3 linked regions of the Saccharomyces cerevisiae S288C genome follow. The gene in region 1 interacts genetically with each later gene. Each region holds a gene or a part of one and is shown on either strand. Other genes may lie near its edges. The genes, in order: YAP1802, PAL1 and APL1.

Evidence for each region.
Region 2: of YAP1802 (region 1) and PAL1, changing one enhances a phenotype caused by changing the other (phenotypic enhancement), as found in Saccharomyces cerevisiae (one study listed by BioGRID).
Region 3: of YAP1802 (region 1) and APL1, changing one enhances a phenotype caused by changing the other (phenotypic enhancement), as found in Saccharomyces cerevisiae (one study listed by BioGRID).

The regions. Positions count from the first base shown.
Region 1 is NC_001139.9:974,243-978,423, forward strand, and holds YAP1802 (Yap1802p), read right to left. Parts: upstream 2,340-4,181; coding exon 633-2,339; downstream 1-632. Other genes in the region: YGR240C-A (uncharacterized protein), read right to left, coding at 335-535; MPC3 (mitochondrial pyruvate carrier), read left to right, coding at 3,094-3,534; LSC2 (succinate--CoA ligase (GDP-forming) subunit beta), read right to left, coding at 3,794-4,181. UniProt on the Saccharomyces cerevisiae protein: Involved in endocytosis and clathrin cage assembly.
Region 2 is NC_001136.10:1,169,826-1,173,532, reverse strand, and holds PAL1 (Pal1p), read left to right. Parts: upstream 1-1,707; coding exon 1,708-3,207; downstream 3,208-3,707. Other genes in the region: YPS7 (putative aspartic endopeptidase), read left to right, coding at 1-1,147; mitochondrial 37S ribosomal protein mS43 MRP1, read right to left, coding at 3,390-3,707. UniProt on the Saccharomyces cerevisiae protein: Involved in the early step of endocytosis.
Region 3 is NC_001142.9:444,110-448,678, reverse strand, and holds APL1 (Apl1p), read right to left. Parts: upstream 2,757-4,569; coding exon 654-2,756; downstream 1-653. Other genes in the region: LSO1 (Lso1p), read left to right, coding at 1-202; SAG1 (Sag1p), read left to right, coding at 3,818-4,569. UniProt on the Saccharomyces cerevisiae protein: Adaptins are components of the adaptor complexes which link clathrin to receptors in coated vesicles. Clathrin-associated protein complexes are believed to interact with the cytoplasmic tails of membrane proteins, leading to their selection and concentration.

The sequences.
Region 1 (4,181 bases):
ATGCAAGTCGATCTCAAATCGGATAACGCTGCCAACTGGGAAATTCCGCAATTCCGCAAGAAAAAAAAAAATGTGAAAACGTGATTGCATTTTTTACAGGTCCTAAAGGATTTAGCCCACATATCAAGAGGGTGGCAGTAATTGCACTGATTAAGCATTCGTCAGCATTAGGCGAATGTGTGCATGAATATTGCCAGTGTGCTCGATATTAGAGAGTACATTGAAGAATATTGTACCGGATTATGTACAATAACTTTGTTAATGAGATATTAATTTTCTTTTTTACTAGCCGCTATCCCATGCACGATGCTAAATTTCAAGAAGAAACTGAGATTTAAAAAATTAGTGGAAGCTGATAAAACGGACTATAATGGTGTATGGATTGAGGAATCTCGACATGTTTTTCCATCGTTTTCAACGATGACTGTAACCCGTAGATTGAACCAGGCATGCCAAAGTTAGTTAGATCAGGGTAAAAATTATAGATGAGGTTATATGTATGGTACGTAAAATTTACATGTTTGGATAGTATCATAAAATATAGAAAGGTGGAAGGGATTACCTAAAAATCAGAGTTTATAATATGCAAGGACGGCCTGTTGAGAACAAAAAACTGTAGTATCTATCGCTCACTATATATCTATTAAGTTAGGATTTTCTTGCTGATGCTGCTGTTGTTGCTGTTGTTGATTGATGGGGACAAACGCAGTGGGAACCATAACATACCCTGTTTGCTGACCCTGCATCATTTGTGGTTGCTGCTGCGCACCAGTAGAGGCATACTGAAGTTGACCGGCCACGGGATTCGTCATGTATGTGCCCATTGGTGATGTCACCACGTTTTGAGCCTGAAATGGATTACCTGTTTGACTATGAGCAAGAATCGGGGTGGTTTGTGCTTGTTGGAGGGTAAAAGGATTTGGGGAGTTTTGGAAATTTTGTTGTTGCTGTTCTCTGGCAATATTTTCTAGCGAAAATGGGTTGTTAGACCCCGTTTTTGTTGGATCTAAAGTGCCGGTCATAATTGCATTGTTCTCGGTGGTCGTGTATCCGCCGAACCCTGAGCCGGTGAAATTTGGGGTGTATTGAAGGTTAGAAGCATACATCCCAGTTTGTTGATTATTCAAATTTGGAGTAATCTGTATCTCACTTGGTTGTGGCATTGTAGACGCAGATGTCAACTGTAAAGCCTGTTGCTGTTGTTGCGGTATCAAGAAGGGGTTAGCAGTTGGTTGAGGGACTTGAGCGGTCATTTGTGGCTGGGTTGGTTCGAATGAAAAGGTGTCATTATTTAAATCTTGCTGTTGTGATCCAAATGGGTTGTAAGCATCTTGTGGGACCGTGGGGGAAATGAGCAACTGTTGGTTTTGTAATTGTTGCTCCAGCAGTCTTTTTTGTTCCCTTATCTGTTCCAGTTTCTTCTGCGCTATAGACTTATTCTTGTCATTGCTGTTGTTATTGTGACTACTGGTAGAGCTAATGGCCGTAGATGGTTTTCTATCTTGCTGCGGTTCAGAAGGTTCACCTCTTTGTCTTTTTGTTTCCTCTCTCAAATGCTCCTCAAGGGAGTTAATTAACTTTGTAGTAATATGTTTGATAACGGGGATTTTCAAACCGACAGCTTTTCCTATTTTTAGGTATCTAACAACATATTCTGTCATATCCACGAAATCCTTATAGAGATCCAGTGTTCTTTTTGCGTGCTCAATGGACAATTCGAAGAATGATTCTAAAAGTGTAATGACACCTTCATTAAGAGCATTGTACAGACCTAGTAAATCTTGTACTAACAATTGGAATGCATACAATAACAAATGGTTTTCTAAATCTGAAACAGAGTATTTATTCCTTATCAAGGCATTAATTTGAATTTCCAATGATTCAACATGATCTAGCTCTTCATCCATTGAAAGCTGGTTCTTACTGCCCAGCTTTAGCGAGGAGTAATTGTCTCGTAGGTGATCCATACCTAGCCTGCCATACTCTTCACAACGTGTTTTTAGGTATTCGTCGTATCTCTGCAAAGCCCTCATATCATTGGAAGACCACTTAGTAGTATGCGAAATCTTTCTCAATTGGAAAACATCCAAATTATGGGAATAGTGCCTTAGCGTGACATCTTTTTCGCCTTGTTGTATCATCAGATGCAACACAATCAATGCCTTATAAACAATGGTCCAGGCTGTATCAGACAACCTTATATCCAATGCGTGGGTAATCTCTTGCAATCCTCTTGCGCTCGAAGTGCCCGAGAGAATAGGGTCCACATATTTTTGCTTTGGAGGGGCCATCTTTATTTTGGTCGCCCCTTTAACCAACTTAGTATATAATGAAGACATTGTTTCACAAACACGCCTCTATATCTATTATAGGGGTAGCCGAGACAGTCGCGCTTGTATGCTTGATATTGTTACTCTCGTAGATGTTAGCAAGCGTAGCAAATTGGTACTCCTGCTACAGATTTATTTTTTCTCCTTCTAAAATTATAACTCAAGCAAGAAGCCCTAATAACAAGTTAACCAGACTAATAAGTCGACTTTTTCCTCGAATGTAGAAAAGAAACTTTTCTACGCAGCTGCAAACTTAATCTATCCCTCCACCAAAGCAAAATGAAAACAAAGCCATACTGGGAAAAATCTGAAAAAAAAAATGGTAGGAGTAAAAGAAAAGAAAAAATAAAGGTTACCCTGCAGTTTGGATAGTCGGGTAACATTTGGCCCTTTTCCTCCTTGATTGGATATTATTACCCCGATTACCCCTCATCTTGGGAGTGCCCCGCTTTTATTTCTCCCGCCAATCGGCTATTAACGGCTTTACGTCATTCCGTGGGCGGGTCAAGCGAGCCGCTCCCTGGTTTGGTCACGCAAAACCGAAAGGCTCAAACAAAACTAAGGCCATCATATATATATATGCGGCTGCGTGCGTGTATTCTCCCGGATAATATGGTGCGTTGCAATTGGAGTATTGGAGAAAATTTTCTTTTCCCTTTCATTACGGCGGAAATACTTCATATAAAAAAAAAGAATACAATCAGTCTTTAAGACTATACGCATAAGCATTCAAGACACATAGAAACACAAACCTATATTTTTAATGTCAGCATCAGCTTTTAATTTTGCCTTTAGAAGATTTTGGAATAGTGAAACAGGCCCTAAAACAGTACACTTCTGGGCCCCAACTTTGAAGTGGGGGCTGGTCTTCGCAGGGCTAAATGATATTAAGAGGCCTGTTGAGAAGGTATCAGGAGCACAAAATTTATCTTTATTAGCGACGGCACTGATTTGGACGCGTTGGTCGTTTGTCATCAAGCCCAAGAACTATCTGTTAGCTTCCGTCAATTTTTTCCTGGGTTGCACTGCAGGCTACCATCTAACAAGAATTGCTAACTTTAGGATACGGAACGGTGATTCTTTTAAACAGGTTATTCACTACATAATAAAAGGGGAGACTCCTGCAGCCGTCGCAGCAAAGCAAACTGCATCCACATCGATGAACAAAGGTGTGATCGGTACTAATCCGCCAATAACGCACTGATTACGTAAACGATAATATGTTCCTGAACTCGCATTTTTTTAATGATTTTTTATGACCTCTTATATATTCTTTCATTATATAACCTCTATATTACATCAAAAGATGGAAAAATATAAAAAAATTAAAAAAAAAAAAAAGAAATTTTTTCCAAAAGAGTATATTTATATGTATGTATACATGTAGGGAAAATAAGAAACTTTATTAATAGTAAAAAAGCATATATACTTTATTATTAACTCTTTTGTTTTTCTCGAGAAGCTTAATTTTGGGTCAATTCAACGACCTTTTTAGCAGCAGGATCTAATTCATCAAACGAATAAATCTTCACGCCTGACTTATTGATAATGTCGCGGCCTTCTTCTACTTTGGTACCTTGCAAACGTGCCACAATGGGGACCCTAACTTCTAGTTCTCTGGCGGCTTCTACCAGCCCCAGGGCAACATAGTCACATCTTACGATACCGCCGAAAATATTGACGAAAATTGCATCTACGTTCTTATTGGATAAGATCAATTCGAAACCTTGTTTGATGGTCTCAGGGGTGGCACCACCACCACAATCCAAAAAGTTCGCAGGATCGCCTCCATTTAATTTGATGACATCCATAGTAGCCATAGCCAAACCAGCACCATTGACTAAACATCCA
Region 2 (3,707 bases), on another chromosome or scaffold:
TTTTCTATCCTTATTGAAAGATGCAGATATCATTGAAAGTTCGTCATATTCACTGTGGTTGGCTGGAGACACTTCCACGTACAAAACATATAGAGATCCAATATCTAATTGTGGGAAGCTACTTCTTGGAGGGGTGGATCCTTCGCTGTTTACCGGTACACTGGGAAAATTTGACTTAATTCCTTACGTTGACCCAGTGAGTAATGCTGTTAGTGTTGGGTACCCAATTGTGCCATTAGGCCCTATTTATATTGTGTCTAACAGCGGACAAAGTTTGAATATGACTTCGAAGGACTTTCTGAGCCCAGCCTTACTTGATTCAACTTCTTCGGTCAGTTACCTGCCAACTAGTACCATTATTCAGATTGCCGTTCAAATTGCGGCCACTTATGTGGAATCACTAGATAGGTGGCTAGTCCAATGTTCTATAGCAGATATGGGTGTCTCCTTGGGTTTCAGGCTTCGAGAATTGACAATTGAAATACCCCTACGTGATTTATTATCATCTACTTACGATACATCCACCAATTCTTCAATGTTTTTCAGTTCTGGACAGGAAGCTTGTTTTCTAACACTATACGCTAATACAAATACTGGAGTAAACATACTCGGAGAAGCCTTCATAAAAAATATATATATGGCAATGGACTTAGAGGATAACACTATAGCCATTGCACAGGCAAAGAAGGTTGAAGATGACGCAGTTACTGAAGAGACAAATGAAACTACCGCGTCCACTATCATCAAGAAGATCAAATCTGGTTACATTCCTTACGCAAAAGTGATGAATAGTAGTAATACAAGAAACTTGACTCTTTATCCATCCTATAGGTCAGGCTATATGTTCACTGTCCCAGGTCAACTGACAGCAGCATACTCAAACGGTGTGATTACAGGTGCGGGCCGGTCATTCTATGATACTTCAAGAGCAAGCACAAGTGCTAGACCATCCAGTACTCAATTCGACAGCTTTTCTGTGTCAGCCTCAGAAGAGTGGTCAAATTCAACTAATAGAACCAGCAGTGCTTCGGGAGCAGGCGTTCGATTGAGCAGTCCTTATACATTTAACAAAGATCCAGCTGGACATGTAACTCGTATAGCTTCCTTGCTACTACTTTCGATATTCTCGATACTTATTGTTCTTTGAATGGTTTTAACAAAAGTTCATAACATAAAACCTTTTTCTCCTTGACCAATGCACGTATAACATCATTATATAGCAGATTTAATAACAACATACTTAAAAGTATATATGCGTCATTCTTATCCAGTTGTGTAGAAGCTAGTACTTGTGATCAACCATTGGCAGCCATCTCAAAGAATCGTCGTGCACGGAGCGTAAATCGCGTTACTTTTTTTTTTGTTTTTTTTCCCGCCTCGAGGTTGGTTCAACAGCAGATCATGGTGACTGGCGATAGGTTATTCACTAGAAAATGAAGATACTCTTTCTTGGGAGGTAACTCTGTAAAATTTCTAATTTGTATTTTATAGTGTGTAGAATCCGAAATATATCCGATCTACCTCGCTCTTTTTATTGTTATTTTTATTCGAGGAATTTAAGTGTTTTGCAGACCTATCCCTTCGAACACGTAACGTCATTTTACCATAATCTTCGACTGCTTAATTGTTGATACATTGTAGGTTCCATTACACTTTGCCAGCATTTTCCATTTTTAGAAAAATTGATACATATACGCAAGATTTAGCATGGAGAATAGAAACAGTAGTACCTCTAGTAGGCCATTTTCTGTTAATAACCCGTTTAGAAATGCCACAGTTGATTCAAGTATTAATCAGTATAAAAATGACTCCCAGTTTCAGGAGTGGGCGAAAAACCAATCTCGTACCAATTCATTTGATATGCCACAATTGAACACAAGAACTTCTTCACAATTATCATTCCCAAACATTCCAGAGGATGAACCCCAGCGAAACGCAGATCAGCAGGGTGCTTTTTATTCTGGTTTGGAGAGCTTTAGTAGTGGTAGTTTATCACCACCTTCGAGACCTCTTTCCTCAAAGAATCCTTTCCTAGACGATGTGAGTTCTGCAACCGATTTTAGAAGGTCTCCCCCACCTGTTTCAAGGAATAAAAATCATCCCACTGCTAAAGAAGAAAAAGAACAATTAAGGCAAAGATATTTGGAGGAAAGTGACGTAAGTACAGTAGGTAACACAAGAGAAAACACTGACCTACCACCCTCATACGAAGAGATCACTTCAACCAATGGATCAAGGCGTGCATATCCAAAGGAAAAGGTTTCTCGTCCTTCTTCTCACCGCGAACATAGCAACAGCGGCACATATATTTCACGCAGATCTTCATCCCACCATCACCGTGAAGCTTCCTCATCTTCAACGCCTTCTAAGAAGGGAAAGAGAAAAAGTAAGGTTATTGTTCCTAAGAACGTCGATACTATCGATAAGTTAGATGTAACTGGATTGTTCGGTGGCTCATTTCATCATGACGGCCCATTCGATGCAGTAACACCTCATAGAAATAAAAATAACAAAGCTGCGCCTGTTTTAGCATTTCCGGTCGATGGTCCAAACAGTACCATCGGTGGCGCTTCAACCAAGAAGTCTGCCCTGGATGAGGTTTTTGGGAGAGATGATACAGATGATTCTGATATATACCAGTACAGTTCGCAGACTCTAAGGAGAGGTGGTGATACGCAGGACGCAATAAAAGCAAACGTGGGTAACGTCCAACAAATGGATGCCAAAAATAAGACAGAATTGGTTCATGGGCCAGTTACTGCGGGATTAGGTTCTAGTACGTTTTTAGATGGGGCGCCGGCCTCCTCAGCTGCCATTAGAAACGACATAAAAGCCCATTCCTATCATAATCGTAACGGTGGTTTACAAAGAAATAAGTCACTTTCTCAACGATTAGGTCTCGGAGGATCCGGTGATAGCAATGCCCCCATGACAGGCGTTAGAAGAAACTTGAGTTTAAGTAGAGACAACTATGATGTTGGTCACAGCAATGAAGGTGTTAGAAGGTCGAAAACCGTTAATTCTCCTAACAGAACGCATAAGTCCAATTATACTACTGATTTCGACGGCCAAGATGATCACAATGAAGATGAGGAAGACGTTTATTTGGGTGTGCGCTACAATGAGCCCAATATGAAAAAGAAATCGACGGGCAGCAAATTACTGAGCAGAGTAAAAAGTCTAAAGGTCGGCAGGAAAAGTCAGTAAAGTGAGCTTAAAAGAGAGAAAAGAAGCTATGAGACACCAAAGCCAGGCAAATAAAAGGGAGAGATACGAATAAAAATAATTTAAGACCACGTTATATACACATTACGAATAGTTTGACTTTATATATTTACAGAGACTACCAACTTATATCAAAAGGAAAAAATTCCCATTACCAGTTTCATTCATAACGTGTTGAATGCTTGGATCTTAGTACGTTGAGGTAACCTTGACTCTACAATTTTCCATTCTATAGAGTCCCATACCCTTTCTAAATATTCTCGTTTCCCAAATACGCCATAATCAGTTAACCATGTTTTTGGTGACGCATCAATGGCTAAAAGCGGGATATATGAAACCTCTTTCCCAGAAAAACCTTTCTGTTGGGTTTCATAAATAAATTTTGTCTTGGCTTGCTTGGCAGTCATCTCAGAATCTTCAAGATTACCGGCTTCTTTGGCTCGTTGTTTTTCCATGTTGGTATATTGGTTATTGAGCTCATT
Region 3 (4,569 bases), on another chromosome or scaffold:
CGAAAAGGACCAACTAGAGAAACAACAACTAGAAGCTCAAGAAGCTCAGAGGTGGGAAGAAGGTGCGAGAACCCCTAACCAGAAGAAGCTGATTATGGAACAAAAAAAGACAGAGAAGCTAAGAGCCAAAAAGGAAAGAGACCAATTACTAGCCGCCGAAGAGGAAGCTTTAGGTAAGGGAGGCAGGGGAAAAAGATACTGAAATGACGGAAAACGAGAATATGGAGCAGAGAGCAACTTTTAGAGCTTTACCCGTTAAAAGGTCAAATCGAGGCTTCCTGCCTTTGTCTGATTTTAGTAGTACCGGAAGGTTTATTACGCCCAAGAACAGTGCTTGAATTGAGTTCTCGGGACACGGGAAAGACAATGGAAGAAAAATTTACATTCAGTAGCCTTATATATGAAATGCTGCCAAGCCACGTCTTTATAAGTAGATAATGTCCCATGAGCTGAACTATGGGAATTTATGACGCAGTTCATTGTATATATATTACATTAACTCTTTAGTTTAACATCTGAATTGTTTTATAAAATAACTTTTTGAATTTTTTTATGATCGCTTAGTTAAGTCTATTATATCAGGTTTTTTCATTCATCATAATTGTTCGTTAAATATGAGTATATTTAAATACAGGAATTAGTATCATTTGCAGTCACGAAAAGGGCCGTTTCATAGAGAGTTTTCTTAATAAAGTTGAGGGTTTCCGTGATAGTTTTGAGGGGTTGTTTGAACTAGATTTACGCTTACCTTTCAACTGATTAATTTTTTCAGCGGGCTTATCATAATCATCCATCATAGCAGTCTTTCTGGACTTCGTCGAGGACTGGCTTTCTGAATTTTGACGGTCCCTATTAGCTCCAGTTGGAGGAAATGAGTTACCTACAACTGGCAAGAGGTCTTTGTTTGGATTCAAAATAGGACTTTGTGGTAGCAGTTTGGTTTTATTCAATCTAAAGATATGAGAAACAGGTTTTAAGTAAATCGATACTATTGTACCAATGTTTAGCTCCAATTCCTCCAAAACGGTGGGATCTAATTTCGTGTTCATTTCTATTAGTGGCAACTCTCCGTCCAGTACTGATTTTAAAGATTCAAAAGTTATCGCGTTTGATATACGAGACGTTTTCGTTAATGACAGCAATCTCCAATACATCAGTGTTTTATCTCTTAAGTCAGGATTATTTTCGTGATCGATGCATCCTTTTAATAAATCCATACAAAGTTCTTCAGTTTCCTTTGTAGGACTTCTGATGAAGAATTTTATTGCTGAGTTCAGAATGGAAAATTGCACTTCTAGCGTCTCACTAAACATGTTTGAGGAAAAAACTCTAAATAACTCCAGGTAGTTTGGAATTACATCCGAATATTGCGTTATTATCCAGATCATAGCGTTTTTTGATTCAGGTTCCTGTACAACTTCAGTGTGTTTGACTAGTTCTGTTACGTTTGCTTTAAAATTATTGGGATATTTCCTCAAAATATTTCTGAAAACCGAAATAATCTCCTGGACGACATAATCAACACCGAATTCTAACAAATCTAGTAGAACAGCGACACAATCGTGTACAGAGTCTTCATCTAGCTTAACAGCCAGATTACCAATGGCTCTGACTGATTTCCTTGACATTTGAATATCAATATCTGTAGCATATTGTTCCAACTCTTCTAGAATTCTTGGTAATGTTTCCTTGTTAGCTAAAAGATATAAACACTCTAATTTCGTGTCTTTGATGTATATGGGGTCATTGTACTCGATGAAAAAATACGAAATGTCTAGCCTGAGTAGAGATGACTCCCTACTCAATAAAAGAAGAATAACGTTTCTTAATACTAAAAATTGTAATTCAGGCGGCTTATCTAACAAAGCTATTACAGAGTTAGATAGCTTTTCGGCTAGAGTTTCTTTGATGACGTCAACATAATTCAACAAGTACATGATGAATTTTAAAGAGTTCAACACTACGTATGTGTTTACTTGTTGCAGGTACGGTAAAGCTAGTTCGATCATTTCATGGGTATCCAAATAATGCTGCGGCACAACCGAAGTCGTCAAAACTTCCAAAACAGTAGCCTTATTCCACTCATTTAATTCGGGTAAAAGCTCTAGCATGTCAAAAGCGAGTTCCAAGGGAATCCTGAAGGGTTCCATGTTAGCGTTTTTTTCGTGAATGGAATATAAAGTATGTAATGCAGCTACAATGACTTCTGGAGAGCTCGACTGTGCTTTTACAATGTCATGTAGAATGCTTGATAACCCCAATACCCTTTCATGATCAATTTCATCTAAATCCAACAGTGCGTAAATTGCTGTCCTCGTCACTTGTTCAGGTGGAGACTTGTGATTTACCAATGAAATGATACAGTCGAAGGCCTGATCAGATAGCTCTTTCACCGGGACTAATACCAGAGTTCTTAGTGCCATTATTTGTAACTTTTCATCTCTGCTTTTGAAATCGTCCATTATAAATGGCAAAGCCTCTCTGGCCTGCTGAGGTTTTAATGCGCCGATCACCCTAATATACTCATGGCAAATTCTTTTCACTTCTAGATCATCTTCAATTTGCCAAAATTTCAAGAGCTCAGAAAACAGAACGGACATTTCGCCATAGTTTCCTAGAACCAAATTGGCGATAATTTTTCTCAGAGCATTTTTCCTTCTTGTTATATTCGATTTAAACTTTTTTACTCCAAAATGTTGCAGATCTGTGACGATTTCATTTGCTTTATATCTGGCAAAAACTTTTTGATCGGACATAAGCGAAATACGTCCTATTAATGAAGTGAATGTTCTTGCTGTATTCCCTTCTTGTGCAGTAGATTAATTCTGTTTCCAGGCTGCGATACTTTGATACCCAATACTAAAAGTTGATGATTTGAACGATCTCCTATTTCCTCGCACATTTTTGGAGCGATACCCGGAAGACAGAATCGCGATGTTAAGAAAATAGTTCTGATGGCACTAAAGAGATCATGATTAAGGAAAGGTAAGTGATATGCATGAATGGGAATAGGCTTTCGAACTTGACGATTTAGTTCCTTATTTCTATCCATCTAATCCTCCAACTTCAATAGGCCTTATCTAGCTCAGAGCAGTATTTAATTGAGAATAGTAGCTTAATTGAAACCTTACTAAAAAAGTGTATGGTTACATAAGATAAGGCGTTAAGAAGAGTATACATATGCATTATTCATTACCAAGACCACTATGAATAGTAATACCATATTTAGCTTTTGAAACTCATGTTTTCTATTGTGTTGTTTCAAATTCCTCTGTTAGGCTCAATTTAGGTTAATTAAATTATAAAAAAATATAAAAAATAAAGAAAGTTTATCCATCGTCACCTCAATTCAATGGAGTAAACAGTTTCAACACTGAGTGGTGAAACATTGAACAACTACATGCAGTTTCCCGCCACGAGGCAAGTGTAGGTCCTTTGTCCATTTCGCTTTGTTTTGCAGGTCATTGATGACCTAATTAGGAAGGTAGAAGCCGCTCCAGCTCGATAAGGAAATGCTAAGGGTACTCGCCTTTGGTGTTTTACCATACAATGGCAGCTTTATGTCACTTCATTCTTCAGTAACGGCGCTTAAATATTCCCAAAAACGTTACAATGGAATTGTTTGATCATGTAACGAAATGCAATCTTCTAAAAAAAAAGCCATGTGAATCAAAAAAAGATTCCTTTTAGCATACTATAAATATGCGAAATGCCCTCTATTTATTCTAGTAATCGTCCATTCTCATATCTTCCTTATATCAGTCGCCTCGCTTAATATAGTCAGCACAAAAGGAACAACAATTCGCCAGTTTTCAAAATGTTCACTTTTCTCAAAATTATTCTGTGGCTTTTTTCCTTGGCATTGGCCTCTGCTATAAATATCAACGATATCACATTTTCCAATTTAGAAATTACTCCACTGACTGCAAATAAACAACCTGATCAAGGTTGGACTGCCACTTTTGATTTTAGTATTGCAGATGCGTCTTCCATTAGGGAGGGCGATGAATTCACATTATCAATGCCACATGTTTATAGGATTAAGCTATTAAACTCATCGCAAACAGCTACTATTTCCTTAGCGGATGGTACTGAGGCTTTCAAATGCTATGTTTCGCAACAGGCTGCATACTTGTATGAAAATACTACTTTCACATGTACTGCTCAAAATGACCTGTCCTCCTATAATACGATTGATGGATCCATAACATTTTCGCTAAATTTTAGTGATGGTGGTTCCAGCTATGAATATGAGTTAGAAAACGCTAAGTTTTTCAAATCTGGGCCAATGCTTGTTAAACTTGGTAATCAAATGTCAGATGTGGTGAATTTCGATCCTGCTGCTTTTACAGAGAATGTTTTTCACTCTGGGCGTTCAACTGGTTACGGTTCTTTTGAAAGTTATCATTTGGGTATGTATTGTCCAAACGGATATTTCCTGGGTGGTACTGAGAAGATTGATTACGACAGTTCCAATAACAATGTCGATTTGGATTGTTCTTCAGTTCAGGTTTATTCATCCAATGATTTTAATGATTGGTGGTTCCCGCAAAGTTACAATGATACCAA